Linked DNA regions of Mytilus edulis. The protein of the gene in region 2 interacts with the protein of the main gene of each other region in a pairwise test. Links are inferred from orthologs where the notes say so. Each region holds a gene or a part of one and is shown on either strand. Other genes may lie near its edges.

What was found.
Region 1: the proteins of regulator of microtubule dynamics protein 1-like (region 2) and exodeoxyribonuclease-like interact in a two-hybrid assay, tested with the Caenorhabditis elegans proteins (2 studies listed by BioGRID). The link is inferred for Mytilus edulis from reciprocal best matches to the Caenorhabditis elegans genes F33H2.6 and exo-3.

What each region holds. Positions count from the first base shown.
Region 1 is NC_092353.1:832,564-839,916, reverse strand, and holds the start of exodeoxyribonuclease-like, read left to right. Parts: upstream 1-4,333; 5' UTR 4,334-4,391; coding exon 4,392-4,481; intron 4,482-7,034; coding exon 7,035-7,271; intron 7,272-7,353. Other genes in the region: ankyrin repeat and SOCS box protein 8-like, read right to left, coding at 2,703-3,707.
Region 2 is NC_092355.1:30,360,815-30,366,875, reverse strand, and holds regulator of microtubule dynamics protein 1-like, read right to left. Parts: upstream 1,642-6,061; 5' UTR 1,640-1,641; coding exon 719-1,639; 3' UTR 536-718; downstream 1-535. Other genes in the region: elongation factor 1-delta-like, read left to right, coding at 5,272-5,367.

The DNA of each region.
Region 1 (7,353 bases), on a different chromosome or scaffold from region 2:
GAGATTGTAAGGGATTTCAATATTCAACATGTTCCTCATCTAAATTTTATACTTCTATTGAAATATATTAAGACAGTTATCTCATAAATGCAAATTGCCATTTGAATTTACTTTTGTGGAATTCTTCAGAGGTTTTGTTGTTCAGCTTTTAGGGGTTATTGTGGCCAAGTGGACTCAGTACATGTAGTTCATCTTTTTTTCAAACTTGCACATGCTACTTGAACATAATTTTAACATTATAAACATTGTTTCATTTTCACATGTATTTAAAGATCTTTTGTTACCTTTTTTTTTTAAATTAATTTGTCAAGTTGAAAACATGACATTGATGATCAAAAATTTCAATCACAAAAGTATTTAGATACCTCAAGTTGGGCATTTGTTTCTAAACTGATTTCAAAAAGATCAGACGAAAAATGTGTTAATAAAAGTGACAAAAATACTGTAAATTTAAAACTACTGTCTGCATTTAATATTGAGAATTCCATGTTTCTCCCCATGAATGTGTATGAGTGATATACATATTGAAATTGAAGTGTTCTGTTTTAGTGTATACTGGCTATGATTGTTTTTATTTAGTTGCTCACAGAGTTAACATTCCACAATGTATAACTATAATGTACTGCTTTGGAGAAGCAGAATAAAATTGGAAAATATTTGTGTGTTGTTTTATTTTGATTTTATGTCATATGTGCTTTATGTTACCTGATTGTTCTTGATGATAGGCTTGGCTGCACAAAGGGTAAATCTTGTGGATGATGAAACATGTGTCTAATTTTTGAAATAAACTCCTATTTGATTTCTTCCTAAAGCCTTCAAACTTTAACAATGGTTGTGTATACATTGAAAATGTGCACCATTTAGTGTAGCACCCAGTTCCTACATTTTTCTCAGATTATGATCCTTTGACAATTATCAGCAGACATTCAGACATACTGTATAGCGGGTTATTTTAGCGGGTGTAAAATTTCGCGATTTTCATTGAAAAAAGTATACAAAATATTTTGTCTGTTATTATTTTGGCAGATTCAGAACTTTTATCAATACCTTTGCATCTACACTTTAAATTGGCAGAATTTATTTTGTCGATTTTGTTCTATCCCTGAAAATAAGCGAAAATTTACACCCCGCCAAAATAACCTGAGTTCCCCTTAAGACATTCACATAATAGAATAACATGTGGTACAGACAGCCAGACTTGTTACAAGCACATTTTATGTTCACACTTTATCTTCCTAGACCATATGTCTTAAAGAACAATCCAATAAAGAAAAAACAACCTGCAGTAAAGCTACAAACTGGATGGCCACTAGCTTGATGAAGGAAATAAAACATAATTTGGGAACAAGTGGAGCTCACATTCCATAGTATTAGTATCATAGCTTTAGTAGTCATTCACAAGACAAGTTAACATATAGACTGATGGGGTGGGGCTCTGAACACGGACAGACTTATGGACCACTAAGATCATAAAGATTGGCTAGGTTTGGACACAGACCACTTTAAACAACATTACAAATAACATGTATAAATTGTTTTATATTGAAACATAAACATGATAAACAATATGTTATAAAATTTCCTGATAAATAAATTATCGTTGTTTTATACTGAACATGGTGGAAAACAAACCCACTTTTTATGTAATCAATTGATATTTATGATAAGACATTAAGATACGAAGTACTCTTCAGTGTTGGTTATACTAAACTTCTGACACATCAATCTAGCAATACATACAAAAATCAATATAGGTTTGAAGAAGGCTTATCTTTTTAATTAAGACACAGATTTAATTATATAAGTATTCTCTGTGGAAGTGTTTTATAACTAAGATAATTAATTATTTATTAATTTATGTCATAATCAATACACAATTCCCAATTTATAGCATGTTTCAAGTATGTGTGGTCATGGGAAAAAGTATTTTGGATAAATAATCGAAAGATAACCAATAGCAATAAGATAATAGTTAAGCAATGATCAATTGAATAAGAATGTGGTAAAAAAAAACAGAAATTAAAAGTTTTGTTTATTCTCAGTGAATTTCTGAACAAAAGAAATCATGAATTTTAGATGTTTTTATCACCATACAAGTGTGAAGACCACTGTGATTTGTGGTTATATCTTTTAAACTCATGACAGACTACAATATTTTGAAGAGATATTTAATACTGTTGTATCATCATCATTTTCACCTCCTTCTCTCAACATAATTATAAAATCAGATAAAACATACTTTATAACTTATCAAAAGCTGCAGTAGATTTGATAAAAACATTGCAATTACTTTGAGGGCAAGAAATAATTTTTTTTTTAACTATGAACATGATGAATTCAAATTTATCAGCACAAAATGTAATTGTGAATGTTTAGTGAACCTTTAAATTCTATGTAATGTGGCAAAAATCCAAAATAAATAAGTTATATATACACTGATATTCTTCAGTTAACATGACATGTATTTTATTAACTAATTGTTGATACAAAAAAATAGTTTAAATAAATTAATTATTTTTATTTAGATTTTTAAAAGCCATAATGAAAACAAAGGTACAAAACTGCAATTGGTTAATTGAGTCCTTGTGTTCAGTTGAAAAATTGCTTTTTTTGTCATCATCAAAAGACTTTTTTTCATTATACTCTTGATCCATCATAATCCAAAACATAGGCATGATAGGTGTATTAACAATTTACACAAATTACAAATGTCCTAATAAGATATACTCCTTTATGAGTTTTGGTAATGGTAATTGTTCCACTTTTTTCATTAAATGAATGTTTTGTGATGAATGAATCAATGAATTCCTGATAACAAGACAAGAAAGAGTTCTCAAAGTTTGAGGAGATTCTGCACAATACTTAATCAGTACCATCAGCTCAGGGTGGAGAATGAGATTTTGGAATTTTTCACTTTGGCATCTTTTAATTAAAGTTATGTCCACTGATGCACCTGCTTCTAACAGCATTTCTGGAATTTCTTTACAAGTGCTAAATTGGAGGGCTGTAGAAAGTGGGGTATGACCGTTTAATCCAGTATGATTTGGATTGGCTCCATTCAACAGTAGCAAGCGGGTAGTCTGTACACAGTTTGCACGACATGTCAGAATAAGAGGTGTCCAGCCTCTGATTTGCACAACATCAACCTTTGCACCTCTACGTACCAGCTGGGAAGCTATTTTACTGTTGGCATGCATGGCAGCCATGTGAAGGGGCCTAAGATTAGCTGTATCTTTTATATTAACATCACATTTATCACTGATCAGAATCGCTTTCACCATTTCATAGTTATCCATATCAACAGCATGTAACAATGGAGACCATCCACGGTCATCAACAATGTTCACATCAAATCCACCTTGAACAAGAAGTTTAACCATTGGGACATCTTCTTTAACAATGCACTTGAACATAATTGTTAATTTTAGTCGCTCTCTCTTTTTATATGGTTTTAAAATGTATGTATAGTTGAAAACATCCACTATATATTTTAGATTCGTGTTACATCCATTTTGTACTAAAGCTTGCACAATATTAATTTGATCATTTTCTATTGCAGTTTCCACCATTGTTTTTCCAACTCTTTCTGGTCTTTCGTTGCTTCTAAAAGCATGGTTAACATCCAAGCCTTTCTTCAAATATTCACGTAGTGTTTCAGCATCACCCTGAATAATACATCGGTGTAAGTCATCTTCAAAATAATCCATTGTTTCTCAATTTTGTCACAAAAAGTAGATATTTTCTATTCCAAATTTGCTGTCAGCCTGAGTGTCCTAAGTCATCCCCAATCCGTATGTGCTCCCTGGCAATAAATCAAAGACCGGAAGAATCAGGTACATTGTGTATTGACTCTTCTTCAACATAATGAGGCAAATTAATATTTTATTTCTCCACTATAGTTATGTACTGGTATTTCTGAACAGCTGAACAGTGTTCTGTTTGGAATAAATGTATGCATAATTAATAATTTGAGATAGTACCACATTTTGCACAGTATATGAAATATTAATTCATACATATGATAAGCAAATTATCCATGACAATGAACTGAATTTGTGAAATCAGAAAAAAAAAACCTCAACTGTCAAGGGAGAAAGTCAGCTTTTAGAACGTCCATGCGTAACTTAGCAAATGTAAACTTCCGGCAGGTGCCCGTTTAATTAAAAATACGGAATCACATATAAACGAAACAATGATACGATCAAAGCTAATGCTTTATTAACAATGAAAAGACATGTTATATTACATGTCTTTCAAATGAACTATAAATTTGTTTAAGCTTAGTAGTCGGTTTCTGCAAAAAGTAAGGATGACTTTAAATACTTTACATCGTTTTTAAAGTAATTCGTTTCGGAATAAAAGTACATATGGCGGGAAATTTTCTATTGTGAATGTTGTTTGTAAATAGAAATTTGCTGATACCGGCATTTAATAGATTCATCAGTTCAGCGAAGTTAAGTACCATGCCACCAAAAAGAAAGGTAAAAATATATAAATATAATCAGCTAAAAAATGTTTTGTCAGTTTCTAAGCTCTGTGTGTGTGTGTATGTAAAACATTGTGAAATAAATATTTTATATGCAAATTGAGAAAATAAAGTATCTTCAGTGCTCAGACCCTCAGTGGGAAACGAACTCTGTAACAGGAGACAGTTTGACCTTAGTATTTGTATATGTATCAGTATCTTTCTTTTATTATCTGTGTGTTTTATTTGGTAAAGTCAGCTATAATGTTAACTCAGCCTCAGGTATTTATACATTGTAATGATGAGTTTTTTTTATCGTGTGTATAAATCAACAATACGTGTGTCTACTCTTCGAACACACCTTTACCAACAAATCTACACTCTACTTCTGATAATTGACATTGATCTCAATATCCCTTTAGTTAACTAATATTTCTTGCGAAAATATTTTAATCTAAACAACTATTGATTACTACCAAGAAGAAAAGAAAAGCTTTTAATCATTTATCTTATGTAAAACACTGAGAATCCTTACTGATTAACCAATAGAAATCAACTACACTTTTTAGGTTACCCTGGATACAATCATGTAAGCAAAATAATAACAATGAAAATGAATTGTAAATTGAAATTAGCCATCCTACATATAATTTCAAATATATAAAAACCGATTTCGCTACACGTCCATGGTTCAGCCTTAGTTGATTCAGTCTTGGTCGTCTAGTCCATGTACCACTTCAGCCATATGATAAAAGAGGATAGTAATGCCTTTGACATCAGGCGTCAAACAGTCATTTTCGGCTACCGTTAGCGTCAAATTGGTTAAAATTTTACAGTGATTTGTCAAAATATCCTTATCATTTCTGTCATTTTTTTAAAAAATAACTTGATTTGTCAAAATCAGTCAATGTTTTTTTATCGTCTGAAGGATGTAGTGTACATTTTACTGTCATACACCTAAAATTACTGTGAATGTCATTTGGCAAGAATTTTTACCGTTTTGTCATGAAGGTACCCCCATTACTACCCTTATAAAAGTTCTGGCAATATTTTCATTTTAATTTATACTTTTAAAATGAGATTGTTTTGTTTCATAATTTATAATTTAATTCATATACTTTTTATGCCTTTAAAAATAAGTTCACATTAGGAAATACGACATCTGATTTCCCCCATAATAAGAATATAAAAATTAGTCCTGCTTAGTCAGTCAGTTATTCTTGTCATGTTTGTATTACAGCTTTGAGACATGATCGAGCTGGCTTTATCAGCATCATCACAATGTCAGATGAGAAGTTTTCATTGACATTACAAATTATTGGAAACAATATGAATACGAAAGTTTCAGTTTGATCCAGTTCACACATATCAATAAAAACATAAGCTCTTGAGAGCTTTTTACCTTTCGGCCATGGTTCAGCTGCATTTAATTCGCCTTCAATTGTTGGTTTTGTCCATGTTCCTCTATCATGACTATAATGCTATGTAATAAAAGTTGTTTCAGCAATATTTTCATTTTATATTTTTTAAAAGAGAATTAGTTGTATATACTTTCATTTATTATATTTATATCAAATTGAAAATGGAAATGGGGAATGTGTCAAAGTGACAACAACCCGATCAAAGAGCAGAAAACAGTCAAGCCACCAATGGGTCTCCAATGCAGTGAGAAACATTCGCTCCTTGGCATGCTTGAGCTGGCCCCTAAACAAAAATGTATACTAGTTCAGTGATAATGGACTCCGAAATATACGCAAGAAACTAAATTTAAAAATCATACAAGACTAACAAAGGCCAGAGGTTCCTGACTTAGGACAGGCGCTAAAATGTGGTAGGGTTAAACATGTTTTTTGAGATATCCCCTTATAACTCTAGCCAATGTAGAAAAAACAAACACTCAACAATACACACAGTAAAACTCAGTTTAAAAAAGAAGAAGAGGTAGAAATATACCTTTAATAACTTTTAAAAAAACTTTATTGCACTTTTATAGTAATGATGATTTATTAGAAAAATGTTTCAAAAGGTTATGTAGATGCTGAGACTGAATATAAATCATTTATTGGATTGAAATCGCAGGTAGAGGGCACTCCTGATTTAAAACGCATACCATTTTATCACTTGAGCTCATCCAATTATCTAATTAAATATACAAACATACATATATCCTGTGGAATCAAATATCTTAGTAATATACAAATGATATAAAAATTACAAAAGTATTTAAGAAATAATTGATGCAAGCTATACTTTATTGTAGTTTTAACATGGGTAGGCATTATATTCGTGATTATTTTTGCCCGAGCGATAGTGAGTAAGTTCAGTACAGCATTGTTATATATTTTGAAGCCGAACAATAATTTAATTTAGTAGATGTGGTGTATATATTTTTGAAAATTCAATCTTCTGATAAAAAGAAAGAACATTTTAATTTTTTAAACTCTGGTGGATAGTTGTCTCACATGTCTCATTGGTAATCATACCACATCTCCTTATTTTAATATTTAATGTGCTTTATCATTAAATTTGTTTATCCAATAAAATCATTTGATTGATTATATTATTATAGAAGGCAGTCACAGATGTTGAAGCAACAACCAAAAAGACAACAGAAGCAGAAGATGAACCAACCACCAAGAAGACAAAGATAGAAAAGAAGTCCAGCACAGCAAGTACAGATCTGCCTGATGATGTAGATACTTCATTCCCAACACAGATTAATCCTGATGCTAAAACAAAGGATGGAAGGAAATTTACCAAGACTATTGTGTCGTGGAATGTTAATGGTGTCAGGGCTTGGTTAAAGGTAATTTACCAAGACTATTGTGTCCTGGAATGTTAATGGTGTCAGGGCTTGGTTAAAGGTAATTTACCAAGACTATTGTGTC
Region 2 (6,061 bases):
TACATATCTTTATGCAGCATTCCTAAAATCTCAACAATTAACTTCCCAGTTTTGTCCATCTTTTACAAATTGCAAAAATAAATGCACACAATAATTTCTGAACTTACAGTATTTAAGCTGCTGACAATTATCAATAGAAATGAGATGTTAACTTTTGGTCAGGTTTTTGTCTCTTTTGTCATATTTCCCATTTCCTGTAATTCCATCCTCTATTTTAACACATGTACTTATAGTATTACCATTCCATTTATGATTTATAATTATTGTAATTATCAAATCATTTAGTAAGATACAGAAACTTTCTAAAAATCCAAAAAATTAGATGCTTTCATCATGTTCAATATCAATTAGGAAGTGTACAAAAGTCCGGAATATGAAACATTACCAGCTATACAAGATTTGTGGTGGATATACATGTACATAACATTGTTACAGTGGATAAAACTTCACCCCTATTTTTTTATGGAGGTGAACTAGTTTGACATCATGTCCGGGCCATTTAGTATTTTACTTGGAAAAGTAAGACTGATAAAGCCACAAATAAATAACTGTTTATTGTATGTACATACATTCTAATTTGGTAATTTGTAAAATATTATACTACATGTATTTTGAAAAAGTACATATATAGTTATTGATTTGAACAATTGCACCAATAAACACCTGAGTATTCAAGAAAAAAATTGTATTAATGAACAGCCTTATAATCAAGTTATTCTTATTGCTGGTCTTTTAATTTCACACCCATGCTTTTTAATAATTCCAGAGCTTCTTTGTGAGCCTTTTCATCATCAGGTTTATTTAAAGGTTGATCTTTCGCTCTAGTTAAATATTTCAGCGCCATATTATGGTTCTTCAATCTGAGGTAAGTTTTCCCTAACATCAATAAGTTCATACTGTAAAAATTAGGATCTGCTTCTTCAGCTTTTTCAAAATAAGCCAGCGCCTCTTCATAAGTTGAAGTTGGTGGTGAAGCAAACAGTGCTGAAGCTATTTGTCTCATGTACCAAGGCATGTCTGCAAATAGAAAACACCAATACCCAAGTGAGTACAATGATGTTGCATCTTTTGGGTTTAATTCATTGGCTCTCTTTAAATGTTCCTTCACATGAAAGGCATTTGAAATTCTTTTTTTCGTGCCTTCATATTCTGCTGTGTAATCAAGTAGTATGGCATACCATTTGTGAGAGGCAAAATTATTGTCATTTAATTCTAGAGCTTTCTTGACATATTCAAAGGCTTCAAAAAAGCAGGCTTTCTTTTCATTGGTATTTTGAACTAGTTTTCCTTTGTCGCTCGCAGCCCTTGCCAGTCTCCACAAAATTTCATCATTCTGACAATCCTTGTACTGAATTAGGAAATCATACAGTTTAAGTATCTCATTAGCTGTATATATTTTATCAGCTTCTATAACAACTAATTCTTCTTTGGTCAATTCTTTGACCTCTTCTTTCTTTCCAAACCCAAAACTTAGAGCATGGACTGTTGCAAAAGGTTGAAATGCCAGTACAGGAAACAATGGATATTGGATTTTCTTGAACTGTTTATATGATTCCTTTCTCTGGGACCTCAAGAATCTGTATGCCACGCCACATGACTGTCTAAATTTTGTAAAAAATTTCAATGAACTTTGCATCATGAAGGTGGCACGGTAGTATTTGCTTCCAACGTTTTAGGTTGCTCCTTTGTGTACCCTACTTAGGTGAATACTTATGACACTGTGATTGGACATTAAAATGGATTATCAACCAGAAACATTTTTTTCAAGTATTTTAACCAATTATGAGTCTGAAAAATAGCAATTTTCAAATGTAACTATTGAAATAAATCTTTTAGAATTTTTTTAGAATATTGCATTTACTGCGGCCAAATATGATGTAAATGACTGGTTCCCTTAGACTGGTGACAATAGCTAAAAAAGTAAACGGTCATGATGGTGTTTCTCATTTATTTTTGAATATCTGAATGAAAGTACTTCAAGTTACAGTAGGTTTTAGGTCTTGGGGAGTGTTAGAAAGTCATGAAAATCTGAAAAATGTTAACATTGTCGCCTATGGCAGGGAAATACTACCGTGCCACCTGAATATGTTGTCAGTGTAATCAGTGAGTAATCTCTGAAACAAGTTCGGTTCATTTATTTTCCGGAAAACAAGAATCAGTAATCAATAAATAGTAGGAAATATGGTTGACTAGAAAATATGGTTTTGTTCGTTTTATTTACAAAGATTTATCCTCTAATGTGTCATGACAGATTTGATTTCTACCAGAGTGTACAGTGCATTATGTTCCCGGATTTTATTCTCAATCTGCCCGTACTTTTATGTAAATTATATCTTGAGTCCTAAAATCTTTCTTTTATTCCCTATACATCGTGGAACAAAGCCGGCTTCAGAAAAAAATATATCAAAAAGTACGAAATCTCACGTAGAAAGTTATATTAAAATCAAACACAGATAAATCATCAACTACTGTATACAATCAACTTTGTCAAAAGATATTTCGGTGTGGTTTTTAAGATTGTCAACCACTTTAATGAAAAAGGGGGGATAATTAATGAGATACATGCCTCTAGTGGACTAACCTGCCTCAGCCTCAGGCAGATTTGTCAATCCCACCTCCAAGCTGTTGACATCTTATGATGTCCACTCAGATTTTGAAACAAATTTTAATTTGATAAAAGATTCTGAAAAACTGGTAATGTTCAACAACAAGTTCATTCATTTTTTAAAGATTTTTTTATGAGAATGTCTGCTTTGTTAACCAATTGCGCTAAAAAAAGACCTGCTGTTTTGTAGAGGTGGGGGAAGACCTTTTTGGAGATGTCAGGATCGGGTGTTCAGGATAGACCCTTTCGAGATCCTGGAATTCTTGTTTCCAATTTTGGAATGCTGGGATTTAAATTTCTTTAAATTTTGGACCTCAGGATTTCATGTTTGAAGCCAGAGATTTCGGGACCAACAGAGGCGGATTTAGGGGGGGCCAAGGGTGGAAAAATTTGGCTGCTTATATAGGGAAGCACTGGAGCGGGCCCCCTCTTAGGCAGTCAGTGGGCCCCCACTTATGAAATTTCTGGATCTGCCACTTATCAGGTCCCCTCTGACAGCCCCATCCCCCTCCATAGCGAAAACAATTACTTTTAATGAATATTGTTAGCAAATGAATACTAGAACACCTATCTTTTTTTGCACATATAAATAAGATGTAGTATTCCATTCCAATTCCAATGTACATGTATAAAAAGTAAAAAAATTACAATTCAAAGTATCAGGCCTTCACCACAGAGCCTTGGCTCACACGGAACAGCAATCTTTAAAGAGCCCTACAATAACTACATGTAAAACAATTTAAAAACTTAAAATTAAAGGTCTAATCTATGTAAAAAAAACAAGAAACAATTGTGAACCACACCAACAAACAACAACAGTCATTAACATTTATCAAGTTAGGCCACAATTAAAAATATTTCAGTTTGCCCAAACCCGACCCATGATGACTGGGTGTGGGTAGGTAGGTAGGCAAATTTTTTTTTCTTTTTTTTTTCCAAATTTGCATGAAAATATTAAAAGATCTTAAAACAGTATATCTTTTTTTTTCTCTGTCAAACCTTTGTAGAGACAACCAAAAGCCATGAATTTAAAACCTCTATAAATAAATTAGTCTACTATATGATTTGTATCCTGAGATGTTTATAACCCTGACAATTGCTAACTGTGTGAAAGGGCTGTTGGATTTGTGAAGTGATTTTCAACAGTTCCATCAACATGATCAACACGATGTTTGTGTAAAAAAAATATCAGCTGATTATGTAATGATTAAATTTGTTTGCAGTTTTTAAATCCTATTCTATTAAAATAGATTAAATGTCCTAAAATATTTATATGAATTTTTATCTACCATCCTTAGTTTGTGTCTTTTTTATGTTTTGAAAACAAATTTATATTTTACATTATCACACAGGTAAACTAATTTGGCTATAAATAGATCAAAGCATGTTCTGTAGAATCTCCAAACTAAAAACGTATTTGTTATAATTTTATTTCTTTAAATAATCAAGTTTAAATTTTTGAAAATAATCATTATTGATTAAATGAAATTGCATAAAGTTAACGTTTTCTGAAGACTTTATTTTTAGGTCTGACATGGTTCTAGGGGCTTCCTCACAAATTGTATAAAAATCCAATATGGCGTCCATAACATGTTTTTACTTTTGCACATGTGAAAAAATATTTCTGACAAAAGTCAGATTTCTCTTGTCAAAAGGGATTTATATTTATATTGCAATAAATTATTCAGAAGGAGTGACATTCAGTTAAGATTATATTTCTGATTCTGTGAGCAATTATAGTTTTATCTAATTCTCCCAAACAGCAACGTACTGACTGTCTAATGAGACTTGTAAATTTGAACTATTCGAATAAAAGGGCATCTAATTTACATGATAAAGGAAGATTATAATTAAAGACAACAATTTATCAAGAAATAATTCCTTTTTATTCAGTAAAAACAAAATCTTCTTGCAAGATTATAAATTCGCAACTTCCAGATCCATTTCCTGTCAGAATAACATTAAAAATATTCGATTGCACATGGTTTTGAACAAATCTACCCAAATATTCTTATCAGATATTCAATAACACGATGAAATTAATGTTGAGCATATAGGTAAGGGTTTGGTAGTACAAACAACTACAGCATAAAAAAACTGTGCCACTTCACTTGTTATACTTCTTTACGTTCGTTAAATCAGAAGATAAAAACAGAGAACATCGAATATCGATTAACTGCGTCTCTTATACGCTTTCTTTTAATCTTATTCACAATTACTTTCAAACGCAAAGACGACAAACATTAAGTTTTGTACGATGACGGAGCTGACCCAAAATAAATCCGGAAAAAAAAAATTCTTCCAAAAAAACGTCAAAAAAAGAATTTGAGTCGGCGGGTTTATTTTGGGTCGGTCGCGTTTGGGCAAACATACAATCTTTTTATTTTGGCCTTACAATGTATCAAGCCCTTTAAGTTAAAAAAAGGAAATGTGATATGATTGCCAATTAGACAACTCTCCACAAGAGACCAAATTACACCGATATTAAACATCTATATGTCACTGTACTGCCTTCAACAATGAGCAAAACCCATACCATATAGTCAACTTTAAAAGGCCCAGAAATGACATGTTAAACAATTCAAATGAGTATTGTCAAATTTGTTATACATTGAATTTGTAAAATAAGATTATATGTTTATAATCTAGTGGTTCTTTTTTTCAGGATGGCACAACCACTATTGTTAGATTCTACATGGAGAGACCAACAGAAATTTGAAAATGCAGAAGCTGTTTATCAATGTACAATTGCTGGTACATCTGTAAGTCTGCATAAAACTATGTACACTAATTTAGATCTTTGGGCAGGAGTAACAAATTTGTTTAGGCCAAAAAAATTAATATGTGTTTCCGTAAACGTCCTGAAAAAAATTAAAGTAGGCAATATCAATCTTTTAACAAACAATTTTTAGCTGGTTGCTATTAGGGAAGTATTGTGACTTTAAAGATGCTTAGTCCAAATTGGCATAAAAAGAGTTGGGTAGGCACTAAAAATTAAGGTAGTCAGGTAGTTAGGGTTAGCGGAAACATGTATTATTATTTTTGGCCTTAGATCTTTGGGCAGGATTAACACAATGTATGATGTGTATTAACCTTACTATTTCAGCTTTTACTAGCTATAGGATTCTGATACCAGTATTCATTTGTATTTGTACATGTTGAATTTTTCAAGATATCCATAGAAATGATATAAACTGTAAACGGATACATGTTCATGTGCTTGCTCTTAAGGCCTACATCGATTTGTCCTACTCAGGGTTAGTAGAGTTTTCTCAACTGGCAATGGAAGAGTTTTGGTTGCCCACATGCACATTTATTAGCACTGATCTTTTAACTCAAGTCAACCCGAGTTGGACGATTCGAAGTAGGCCTAGATGAAAGCATGTTTTATTGGAATTTGGCAAAAAACAGAACAACTTCTGTTGATATTTCACAAATATTTTTTTATAGATTCAT